3 linked regions of the Tamandua tetradactyla genome follow. The protein of the gene in region 3 interacts with the protein of the main gene of each other region in a pairwise test. Links are inferred from orthologs where the notes say so. Each region holds a gene or a part of one and is shown on either strand. Other genes may lie near its edges.

Region 1 (3,739 bases), on a different chromosome or scaffold from region 3:
GTGGAGCTCCCTGGGGCCTGGGGCTGCCCCAGAGCAGTGGGGCCGGCAGGGGCAAGGCCGGCCAAACTTCGGGGAATTTAGGAGGAGGCAAGAGGGGAGGAAGTTTGGAGGCCCCCAAGGGCGGCGGTTTGGGGTTCCCCAGGAGAATACTGTTCCTCTGGCTCTCCGCCGGGGGCCCTCTGACGCCGGGTGCGGGCGGAGAGGTCAGGCTAGTTGCTCTGCTCGGGACCCTGCAGGCCAGGCCCTGTGGGAGGGAGGGGCCCCGTGCCCTGACCGGCCGGGTCGGGCTAAGCGGGGCGGGGCGGCCCAGGGAGGCCCCAGCGCGGGTGGCCAGACCGAGGTCTGCGCCCTGCTCCCCGTGGGGCGGCCCGGCCGGGCGGACAGAGGCCTGCGAAGCTCGGGGCCCAGCCGGGCCGGAGGGAACTCGGTCCCTGGGCCAGGCACTGCGCGCCTGCGGCTCTGCTCTCCCCGCGGCTTTGGGCGCGGCGGCCCCCGCGCCCCCAGGGGCCAGGACGGGGCGGAGGCTGGGTCCAGCGGGCGGGCGCGGGAGGGAGTGGGGCGGGGGGGGGGGTGTCGCGGCGGCGAAGGCTGCGCCGCTCTAACAGGTGGGATCCCGCGGCGTGGAGGAGGCGGGCGCGGGAGGAGGAGGAGGAGGAAGAGCAGCGGCAGCGGGAGCCGGAGCAGAGCAGGACGAGCCGCGCGAGCTGACAGCCGCCGCCGCCCGCGCCCAGGCTCGGTCTCGCTCCCTGCGCCCGGGGCCGCTCCCCGCCTCCCGCCTCCCCCGGCCGCCCGCGGGGCGGTCCGCCCCCTCTGCACCTCCGGGCCCGGAGCTGCCTCCATCGCTCCTGCATCCCGGCCGGGGGGAGGAGGAGGCGGAGCAGGAGGCGAGCCGGAGCCGCCGCCGCCAACGCCGCCGCCGCCGCCGCCCGAGCAGGACAGAGCGCGCCGCAGCCCCGCGCGTCCGGCCGCCGCCCGCACCCAGCAAGCAGCCGCGCCGGAGCCACACCGCGGGACGGGCCCGGCCGCGGCGCGTCCCGGCTCGGCCCGGCCCAGCCCAGCCCAGCCCCGGCCCCGGGCGGCCCAACGGCCGGCCCGCCCCCGAGGGCGCCGGGCGCGGCGGGAGGATGCCGAAGCCGACGCTGCTGCTGCGCGGGGGCTGGGAGCGCGAGCGCAGCCCCGGGGACTCTGAGCTGGGCCGCCAGTTCCGGGACTGGTGCCTGCGCACCTACGGCGACTCGGCCAAAACCAAGACGGTGACACGCAGCAAATACCAGCGGATCGCCGAGGTCCTGCAGGGCGGCGGCGGGACCGGCGCTGGCAGCGGCCCCGCGGCCGGCGAGAAAGGCAAGTTCCAGTTCTGGGTGCGCTCCAAGGGCTTCCGCCTGGGCAGCGGCCGGGAACCCAAGATGGGCCAAGTGGTGTATGTGCCGGTCAAGACGGGCTCGGTGAGTGCGCGCGGCGGCTACGGGCCGGTCCCGGGGCGGGCGGGGGCGGGGTGCGGGTGTGGATGTGTGCCCTAACGTGTGTCCCTGAGGCTGTCCGTGTGTCTGGCCCGCCTGGGGCGCACGCGTCCCTGCTCGCCGGTCCGCCCTGGCCCGCCCCAGCCGCGCTCCGGGTTCGGGGCGTCCCTGACCCCTTCGGCGCCGCTGCCCGGGCTGCGGCCGTGCCGGGCGGGCTGTCCCGGGCTGCTCACCCCAGCATGTTCCGTCCTCGCGTCCCCTCCCCCCGCCAGCAGGCGGCTGCTCCAAAGCCCGAGCTTCCCCCCGCCCGCCCCGGGGCTGCCTGTCCCGGGCGCCTCGCGCTCCCGCCCCCGGGCAGGCTGGGCGGTGTGTGTGTGTGTGTGTGTGTGTATGTGTGTGTGTGTGTGTGTGTGTGTGACGGGGGGGCGGGAGTGTCGCGGGTGGGGGGAATGAGCAGGAGCAGCCCTGGGACGTGGAGTCCGTTTGGCCTCCCAGCTCCAAGGGAGGGGGCCCGCCCGGGCACTGCCGCCCGACCCCACCCGGGGCTAGCCCGGGGAGGGGCGGCCCGAGCCGCAGCCTGGCGCAGGAGCAGCCTGCCGCGGGTGGGTGGGGCGCCCCCTCCGCCCCCCGGGCCCCTGGCTTCCCCCTCCTCCCTGGGGCGGGGGCGGCCTGACCTATCCATCCCCTCCCCTCCCCCGTCCCCCGGGCCGGCCCGGTCCCGACGGAGTGGCGGGGGTGGGGGTGGGGAGGGGGCGGGGAACCGCAGCCGCGGAGGAGGAGGAGGAGGCGGCCGGCCGGGCGGGGGCGTCCCCTCCGGCCCGGGGCGCCCTGGAGAGGGCGTGCGGCGCGGGCCCCGCGGCTCCCCCGCCGGGACCTCATTGTTCTGCAGCGGGTGGGGGCTGGGGGGCGGCCGCTCCCGGGGTGCCGCTGAGCTTTGAACTTTCCGTCGCCGAGACCCTCCATTAGTGCGTTCCGCCCCCGGCCGGCCCGGCCGCCTCCCTGCCCCCCTCGCTCCCTTCCCGGCCTCGCCCGGCCCGAGCGAGCGAGCGAACGGGGCCGCCCCGCGCCGGCCTCCCTCCCTCCCTTTCTCCCCCGCTCCCCCTCCGCGCTCCTCCCCCGTCCGGCCCGCCCGCCCCGCGCTCAGCCGCGGCCCCGGCCGGAGCGGGCTCTTCACACACAATTGATTCGGTCGTTACGAAAAGTGCACTTGTCCCCTCCCCCTCCCCCTCCGGAGGCTGCCCGGGCCCGGCCCGCGGGGTGAGGGGGCCGCGAGGGAGGAGGCGGGAGCCGGGGAGCGGATCCGGAGGCGCCTCCCGCCGCGCCCAGGGGACCGGGCTGCAGGCCGCGGGGAGCGGGGAGCCGCGAGCGCCGAGGGCGGGCGGGCGGCACATCTGCGAGGAGCGCTGATAACCGCGCCGATGCCGCTGCGGCCGCCAGCAGCCCATCTGCGCCGCTGCCGCCTCCGGCCGGAGCGGAGACCGAGGGCCGGGCCGAGGGGCGCGCCGAGGCCGGAGTCCCAGAGGGAGAGGTTGGGGCCGCGCCCCTCTGCCGAGCGAGTCAGGGGCTCCCCCAGCCTAAATCAGTGCTCTCCCCCTCACCCAGCCAGTCCGGGCCATTGTCCCCTCTCCCAGTGGAGTCCGGGACCCCTCCCCACCCACGCCCAGGCCATATCATTACCAACTCTCCCACCCGAAGAGTTTGGATCACTGCACCTCCCTAGGTCAAACCACCCCCCCACCCCCACCCCCTGCCTGCCTGTCGGGGACCCACCTAGGTTCTCTTCCATTTTGGGTCAGTGCCCCCAGCCTAAATGTAGTTTTTTGAGGTCAGCAACCCACAGATGGTTGACTGGGCCTATGCACCCCACCCTGGATCAGTGCCCCCAGCTATCCCAGCTTCCAGGGTCATGCCTTCCCACCCCATCTTAGTTATTCCTGCCCTAGAAAGCAGGAGCCCCCACTCCATGCACTCCTGGAGTTGGGGGTGGGGTGGGTGTCTCCCTCCCTGTGACCTGGCAGCTGACGCACTCGGTGGACCTCTCTCCTAGGGAGTGGGCAGCCTTCCCCCAACCCCCAGCCACACAGCTGTCAAGGCAGTGCACACCCCCACCCCCCAGGCCCCGTCCAGATCACATGCAGAAACTGAGTGCCAGGCCTGGACACCAGGTCCTGCCAGCCCAGCACAGAGCTTCAGACCCTTCTCATGCCCGCAGTGACCTGCCCTGCTGGCCCTGTACACCAGGGGCCTCACAAGCCTCCCCCTGGCTCTCAGATGAGTGA
Region 2 (3,739 bases), about 39 Mb from region 3:
GCCCGTGGGAGGTTTGCCCTGAGCGGGGCCTCCGGCCGCTCAAAAAAGCAACAAGGGGGTCCCGGAGCCCCGGGGCACAAAGAAAGAGCGCGCCAAGAGGATGTCGAACGACCCTGGAAATTCTGGACCATTTAGGCTTGGGGGCAACCCACCGTTCCCCTTTCCCCTCCGCCTTCTTTCCCTGAATCCGTTCCCGTCCACCCGCTCCCACACCACCGATGCCTTTTTTCTTTCTTTCTTTTTATAATTTCAGAGAGTTTTATTTACTCGGCCCAGGAGGGGCCGCGCTGGCCTTGGGGCCCAGCCCTTCCCGCCGCGCCCGGGGCCGCCCTTCCCGCCGGAGCCGGCTGATTGATGGCCCCGGCCGGCCCGCGTCCCCCGCCTCGGCTCGCCCGCGAGTCTAAGGCTGTGTGTTTTGGAAGCCGCGCAGCGGGTTGCAGCACTGTGACGCCCGGAACGGGCAGCGCCGCCCTTCCTTTCCCCCGGGCTCGGGCGGCGGCGCGGCGGCGGGTCCCAGGCGGGTGGGGCGCGGGCCCCAGGGAGGAGGGCGGAGGGCGCTGGGCGGAGGGTGCGGGGATGGGGCACGGGCGGGGCCTCCGGGGCGAGGGCGCAGGGCGTGCGCTCAGGGTCCGCCGCTCCGAGCCAGGGCGGGGGGCGGGAGCTTTTGGGGCGGGGGCCGCGCAGTGCACGCCCAGCCCCACGGCTGCGCCGCGCCTCGCGGGACAGGTTTGGCCGGCGGGGCGGCGCCCGGCTCCGGGGAATAATGACTGTCTGTCAGGCCGTCCCCGGGTGACTGGGCGGGGCGGGGCGGAGGCGGCGCGGGAGGCGGGGGTGGCGGGGGAAGGGCGCAGGGCGGGGTGCGTGTTTGCGCGAGTGACTCGGCCGACCCCTCCGGCGGCTGCCTCCACCCAAGTGGGTGGGGACCCGCCCAGCCCGGGCGGCCGCGGCGGCTCCCTCTCCCCTCCCTGACCCTCCCACCCCGGGTTCCAGCCTCTACTTACCCCGCCAGCCTCGGGAGGCTCGCAGAGAGAGCGGCGCCGGCGTCATGTGACTGCCCGGAGTTGGTGCCAGGAGCCAGAGGGGAGCCAGGAACGGAGCCGCGCGGAGCCGGGCCGGAGCCGGAGCGCAAAGCAAGCGCCCGCCGAGCCGAGCCGAACCGAACCGCGTCTGTCGCACGCGCGCGCGTCCGGGTCCCCTGCGGCCGCTGCCGCTGCCCGAACTGGAGCGCTGACATTACTGCATTCGTGGGGTTTAAGGAAGCCCGGAGCCGGGCCTTTATTTATCGTCCGCTGCGCTCAGCACCGCGGTTCTCAAAGTAAGTCCTCACTCCCTCACTTTTCTTTCACGCCTGACTCCAATCGACCCCCTTTTCGTCGTGTCTAGTTGAATATTTTTAATAGGGGGGTAGTGAATGGGCTTGGGACGGTGCAGCGTGGGGGTGGGGGCGCCTGCGGGCTTGGGAAAGTGCAACAGCTCCTCGCTGCCGGGGGTGGGGGCGGAGAGGGAGGCGAGGGGGAGGAGGCCCCGGGCTCAGCGGTCACAAGTGGGACCGGTCACGGTGAGGGAATCCACGGCGCGTATCCGGAGGTTCAGGGGCGTGGGGCTGCCTGCGCCGGCCACGGCCCCCCAGACAGCCTCCGGCCCGGGGACGGCGCAGGCGGGGCCTCACCTGTGTGGTCCCCGGGCCGCCGCCTGCCCGCCCGCGATTCCCTCCAAAGCCCCAGAAATCAGCGTTCGCCGCGTGTGGCAACGTTGTTTGGAGAAAGGTAGCGCCGAGGCCGCCGCGCGCTCCTGCTCCTCCCCTTCCCGGTTCCCCCCCCCCCCCGGCTCCCTCCCCCCCCCCCGGTTCCCCCCACTCCCGCTCCCTCCCCTCCCTCCGCGGGTGCCCCCAGCTATCCCCCTGCCGGACTGGGCGCGCGGCCGCTTGCCCGGCGGAGCAAACTTGGAGCAGCCTCCAGGCCGTCTGGGAGGAAACTTGGGCAATTGGGAGTGGAGTTAGCATCCCGTTCTCGGTCCAGGGCTCCAGGCGCTGCAGGGCGTCCGGATTCTCCTGGGCAGGGGAAAAGAGCTGGCCGGGTTTGGAGAGTCCTCCTCGGGACCCGGAAAGAACCTGCCGCAGTGCCTGGAAGGAGGATTGCAGTGTAGCTGGAGGCGTATAGAGTACCTTAGGGCAAATGCCTGCAGCTTTAGGGACCCGAGCCAGGTGTGGGCCGAGAAGTGATCCCTGGACCAGCACCCATGGGACGTACCCAGCATTTCAGGCTCTTTTTCTGTGATAGCAGATAATACTTGTAATTGTCATGTCCGTGTCCTTGGCACTTAAACGGGAGAACCCTCTTTTTCTGGTTTAAATTTTACAGTAGTGTACAATAATACCAAACGGAGAACATGTGAATGGGACTTACTTTTAAGTCAGGTTAAATGGAAATTGCTTCCCTTCTTGTAGTCACTAAAATAAACGTTTTCACAGATTTTTTTAACTGATTTTTTTTTCCATTGATACACCCAAGACGCTTTAAATATATTGATTATGTTCTTAAAAGAGTCTGGTATCTGGGGAAAAGTGATCTTCTGACTTCATTAGATTTACCATCTGTAATTACTAAGCAAAATCAAGTGGGGAAAAGGCCAGTTGCTTATTATCATAGGGTGTTCCACAGAGCAGTTTTGCACTGTCCTTTTCTGATTGCTTTATGTATGAATTTGAGGAGAAATTTTATAAGAGAAATCCGTTTAGATGATAGTGAAGACTTGCTTTGGGGTCGGAGGTGGGGAGCAGAAATCTAATAGCATTAATATCTCCAAAATTTTGTGAGTTCGTATTTTTAAAGAAAGTTGACAGATAAGTTTTTTTCTGGCTTGAGACAAGCAGTATGTGAGTTGGCCTTGGGCTATTAATAGGAACCTCAGAGTGTTTGATTAATTTAAACTTTCTGCAGAAACTGATTTCTCTGTTTCTGTATTCTTCAGGGTTTGCTGTATAACCATTAGAAAAATAAAAAAGTGGCTGCTTAGACCACAAAACCTTGTCCATATGAAAAAGCAACATAGCTTTGACAAAAGCTATTGTGTGTTTTTTTTTTCACTGCAAAGTTTCTAAGTTAAAACCCAGTCTTTTGGTTGCTATGGGCACAGTGATGCCTTTTTTTTTGAACCTGTAGTTTTGTCTACCCACAGATCCTTAAATCTCTGGTAATGAAAAGCTGAGTTAAACAGTCAGAGAGTAAAGAGAAATAATAGGAAAGAGCTAGGAGTGGATTTCTCTACTTTAAAAATTCCTAAAAGAAAACAGACCTATTACTATCTTTTAAAAGTCGGTATACAGATTGTATAACAATTTTGGATTAAGTGAAATGTCAGGGATGGAATCACATTATCCAAGGTGAATTTCTGTAGACGTGTGTACATTGAAACAGATGTGCAGCTGTGAGCGTATGTGTCTATAACTGCAGGTGGAAAAGGACAGTGAAAACTTGGGGTGACTCTAGATGTGCCACAGACCACGTCTCGGAATTTAGTTCTGTGACTGAGGGACCCTTAAAATGGATCTAATTTTCAATTATGTGTGGTAACCTAGTTGTAATCTTAATTCTTAACAGCAGTGCTCTATTTTCATTTTCCTCAAGATGCTCTGAGCCAGAATGATAATCATCATTTGATCAGGCTAGAGACCAGCTATTGGCATGGGGGAGAAAGGGACAAAAGAAATCCGGAGGGAGGCTGGTGTTAATTATGAAGG
Region 3 (3,739 bases):
CCAGGCTGCGGGGGCGGGGTTCCCCAGCAGGAGAGAACGGGGACGGGGAGGTAGAGAGAGGGAGGGAGCTGCAGGGCGGAGGGTTACAGCTTCTGCAGCCCCCAATCTCCCCAGGCACGGCCACCTCCAGGCCCACGGCCTGACCCTGGAGGGCGGCGGCCACGGAGGGAAACCCCAGAAAGCTAGACGTGTTTGGCTTCCCTGTGGCAAGAGTGACAGCCCAGCTCAGCCGCAGGGCCACGGCCACAGCCAGGGCCGCCCACGGGTTCCCTGTCCCTCCTGGGGCGGCCCTTCTTCCAGCAGGCAGCAAAGGGTTAAGCAGGTCCCCAGGCAAAGGCCGGGCTGGGCACCCTGCCAGGGAAGGTTCCAGTCTCCAAGCCTCCGGCTCAGGTGCGGCCCCCTCCCCCGGCTCCCGCCTGACCTTGCCGCTGCGGGCACAGGGAGGGGCCGAGGAGGGGGCAGCCGAGGCGGGCGGGCCAGGCAGGACCCGGGGACGCTCCACCCCGGAAGTGCTCCTGCCACGAGGAAGGCCACGCTGCGGGGACGCGACCAGGAACTGCAAAATGGCCACGGAGGGCCGTGCGCAAGTGACAAAGTGGCCTGGGTGAGGGCCGCTCAGAGCAAGGCCTGCATTCGCCTGGGCCTGGAGCCGAAGGGCCCTGCGCTGGCGCTCGGATGCCAGGAGGGGAGACCAAGGTGCCTCGTGATGCACAGACTCTGTGTCGCTGGGGTGCCCGCGGGGGTGCCCCAGCAGCGGCCCCTCCACCCACGGGGGGACACGGACACACCCCACACACCCACGTCGCAGGGCCAATGCCTGGGCCTTCCAGCCGGCAGCACAGAGGGAACGGCTGCCCTCCCGCCCGCCGGACAGCTGCGTCCTAATTTTACACACACAAACCGGGGACAAAAAAATTCAAAGCAAGAGGCCTAAGGGCAAAGCTGGGCTGCGGTGCGACAGCGGCAGCCTGGGGTCACCTCCCTTAACCTGAGGGCCGGCCGCCTCGCCTTCGGACGTCACAGAGGCCCGGGTCGGCCAGCAGCCCCCACCCCCACCCACAGGAAACGGGCGGGGGGCAGTGCTGGGCCAACACACTCGCGACCGCCTTCTGACTCCCACCCCTGGTCACACACAGTAAACATCCCCAGGCGGAGGGAGAGCTGTCTCCTTCTTGCAAAGCAAGTCGATGGGTGAACCGGCTGCTTGCGCGCCGCAGAAGCACCAAAAGCACACCCCAGCATGCTCCAAACACAACGGACGCCAACCCGGGCTCCGGGACAGAAAGGCGACTTAAACAGAGCAGGAGGCTCCGGGACAGGAAGGCGACTTAAACAGAGCAGGAGGCTCCGGGACAGGAAGGCGACTTAAACAGAGCAGGAGGCTCCGGGACAGGAAGGCGACTTAAACAGAGCAGGAGGCTCCAGGACAGGAAGGCGACTTAAACAGAGCAGGAGGCTCTGCTGACCGCCCAACGAGGCCAGCCCGGCTCCAGCAGGGACCGGTCGGGGCAACTCACAGGCTGACATCCAGGACGGGGGTGGGGGGCGAGGATGGGGGGCAGATCTAAGATGAAACGCAGCTCTGAGGGTCCAGTGGGACCTGGGACTGGGGGTCAAATGGGCTGGGCCAAAAAACTGCAGGCCAGGTTCTGGAGGTCCAACAAGCCTGGAACCGGGTAGGCCCAGGTCTGAAGGTATGGTAGGACCTGCGTCTGGGGGTCTGATGAGGTTAGGGTGCAGAGCTGCAGGCCAGATCTGGGGGTCTGATGGGACCCGGCAGTAGGGTTGTGGGCTGGATCTGGGGGTCCACCCAGCCAGCTGTAGGACTGGGGCTATGAGAGGGCTGGGCTGCAGGGCAGCAACTCTGGGTCTGGGGTTCGATGTGACCTGGGTCTGGGGATCCAATGGGGCCCCGCCGGACATCAGGGTCTGAGGACACTGGGTCTGAGGGGACCGGGCCACAGGATCGTGGGCCAGATCTGGGGATCCCAAGGCAACCCGGATCTGGGGGTCCGAGGGGACCGGGTCTGGGGGTCTGAGGGGACCGGGTCTGGGGGTCCGAGGGGACCGGGTCTGGGGATCTGAGGGACTCAGGAATGGGGGTCCGAGGGGACCGGGTGCAGGGTCATGGGCCAGATCAGCGGATCCAATGGGACCAGGTCTGGGGGTCCAAGGGAACCGGGTTTGGGAGTCGGAGGGGGCCGGGCCGCAGGGTCGTGGGCTGGAACTGGGGATCCCAGGGGACCGGGACTGGGGGTCCGAGGAGACCCGGGTCTGGGAGTCCGAGAGGACCAGGCCGCAGGGCCGTGGGCCGGGTCTCGGGTCCAAGGAGACCGGGTCTGTGGGTCCGAGGAGAACCGGGTCTGGGGGTCCGAGGGAACCGGGACTGGAGGTCCGAGAAGACGGGTCTGGGGGTGCAAAGGGACGGCTCTGGGGTCCGAGGGGACCCGGATCTGGGTGTCGGACGACAGCCGGGTCTGGGGTCCGACGGCCGGCGCGCCCGGCTGCCCCTCCCGCCGCGCCGGCCCCTTTGTGTCACCTGCGCCGACCCGGCCGGGCGTGACGGCGGCTCCGCGCACGCGCACTCAGCAGCCCGCGCCCGCGCCCGCGCGCGGCCCCGCCCCCGGCCGGCGGGCGCGCACGCGCACTCGCACACAAAGCGGCGCCCGCGGCGCGCGCTCGGCCCGCCCCCGCGCCCCCCGCCCGCCGGCCGTTCCCCGCCCCCCGCGCCGCCGCCCCCCGCCGGCCGGAAGCGCGGCCCGCTCACCGAGAGGCAGGCCCTTGTTGAGCAAGTGCGAGCTGCCCATTGAAAGGCGCGGGCGGCCGCGGCCCCGACGAGTGCGGCGCGCTCCGCCGAGCCCGGCGCCTGGGCCCTGCGCCGTCCGCTGCTCCGCCCGCCTGCGCCCGGGGCCGCCGAGCCGATCGCGCCGCGCCGCGCCGAGCAGCCGCCTCCGAGCGGGCGGGGACGCAGAGCGGCGGCGGCGCGCGGCGGCGGGCGGGGCTTGCGCGGCCGCATTAATCTCGTGTTTCCAGGCGAGCGCGCCGCGCCGGACCGACGCGGGCGGCTGCAGGGCGCGCCCGCCGGCCCCGCCCTGGCCTGGCAGCGACGCCGCCCTCCCGCCCCGGGATGCGGGGGGCGCGGAGCGGGGGATGCGGGCCCGGGGGATGCGGGGGGAGCGGAGCGGGGGATGCGGGGGGCTCAGAGCCGGGGGATCCGGGGCTGGGGGATGCAGGCAAGGGGCCGGGGGGCGCGGAGCCGGGGAACGCGGAGCTGGGGATGCGGGCAAGGGGTCCGGGGGGAGCGGAGCCAGGGTACGCGGGGCTGGGGGGTGCGAGTGGCACGGTGCCGGGGGATGCGGGGCTGGGGGATGCGGGCAAGGGCCCAGGGGGCGTGGAGCCGGGGGACCGGGGGCTGGGGGGTGCAGGCAAGGGGTCGGGGGATGCAGGACCCAGGGATGCGGGGCTGGGGGATGCGGGCAAGGGGCCGGGGGTCGCGGAGCTGGGGATGCGGGCAAGGGCCCCGGGGGGGCGTGGAGCCAGGGTGCGCGGGACTGGGGGGTGCGGGTGGCACGGTGCCGGGGGATGCGGGGCTGGGGGATGAGGGGAGGGGCGCGGAGTCGGGGGATGCCGGGCTGGAGGATGCAGGCAAGGGCCTGGGGGCCGCGGAGCTGGGGAACAAGGGACCAGAGCCTGGGGCCTGGGGTCAAGGGGCGGGAGGGGGGACGGGGCGCGGGGCCGG

The links.
Region 1: the proteins of CTBP1 (region 3) and NOL4L interact in binary tests that used the Homo sapiens proteins (3 or more experiments, as listed by UniProt). The link is inferred for Tamandua tetradactyla from reciprocal best matches to the Homo sapiens genes CTBP1 and NOL4L.
Region 2: the proteins of CTBP1 (region 3) and KLF3 interact in binary tests that used the Homo sapiens proteins (3 or more experiments, as listed by UniProt). The link is inferred for Tamandua tetradactyla from reciprocal best matches to the Homo sapiens genes CTBP1 and KLF3.

What each region holds. Positions count from the first base shown.
Region 1 is NC_135327.1:20,508,968-20,512,706, forward strand, and holds the start of NOL4L (nucleolar protein 4-like), read left to right. Parts: upstream 1-1,124; coding exon 1,125-1,445; intron 1,446-3,739.
Region 2 is NC_135345.1:40,250,262-40,254,000, forward strand, and holds the start of KLF3 (Krueppel-like factor 3), read left to right. Parts: upstream 1-889; 5' UTR 890-1,001; coding exon of another isoform or gene 1,002-1,234; 5' UTR 1,235-1,315; exon of another isoform or gene 1,316-1,755; intron 1,756-3,739. Other genes in the region: uncharacterized protein LOC143663134, read right to left, coding at 1,002-1,234. UniProt on the Homo sapiens protein: Binds to the CACCC box of erythroid cell-expressed genes. May play a role in hematopoiesis.
Region 3 is NC_135345.1:920,413-924,151, forward strand, and holds the start of CTBP1 (C-terminal-binding protein 1), read right to left. Parts: upstream 2,858-3,739; 5' UTR 2,808-2,857; coding exon 2,768-2,807; intron 2,569-2,767; exon of another isoform or gene 2,540-2,568; intron 1-2,539. UniProt on the Homo sapiens protein: Corepressor targeting diverse transcription regulators such as GLIS2 or BCL6. Has dehydrogenase activity. Involved in controlling the equilibrium between tubular and stacked structures in the Golgi complex.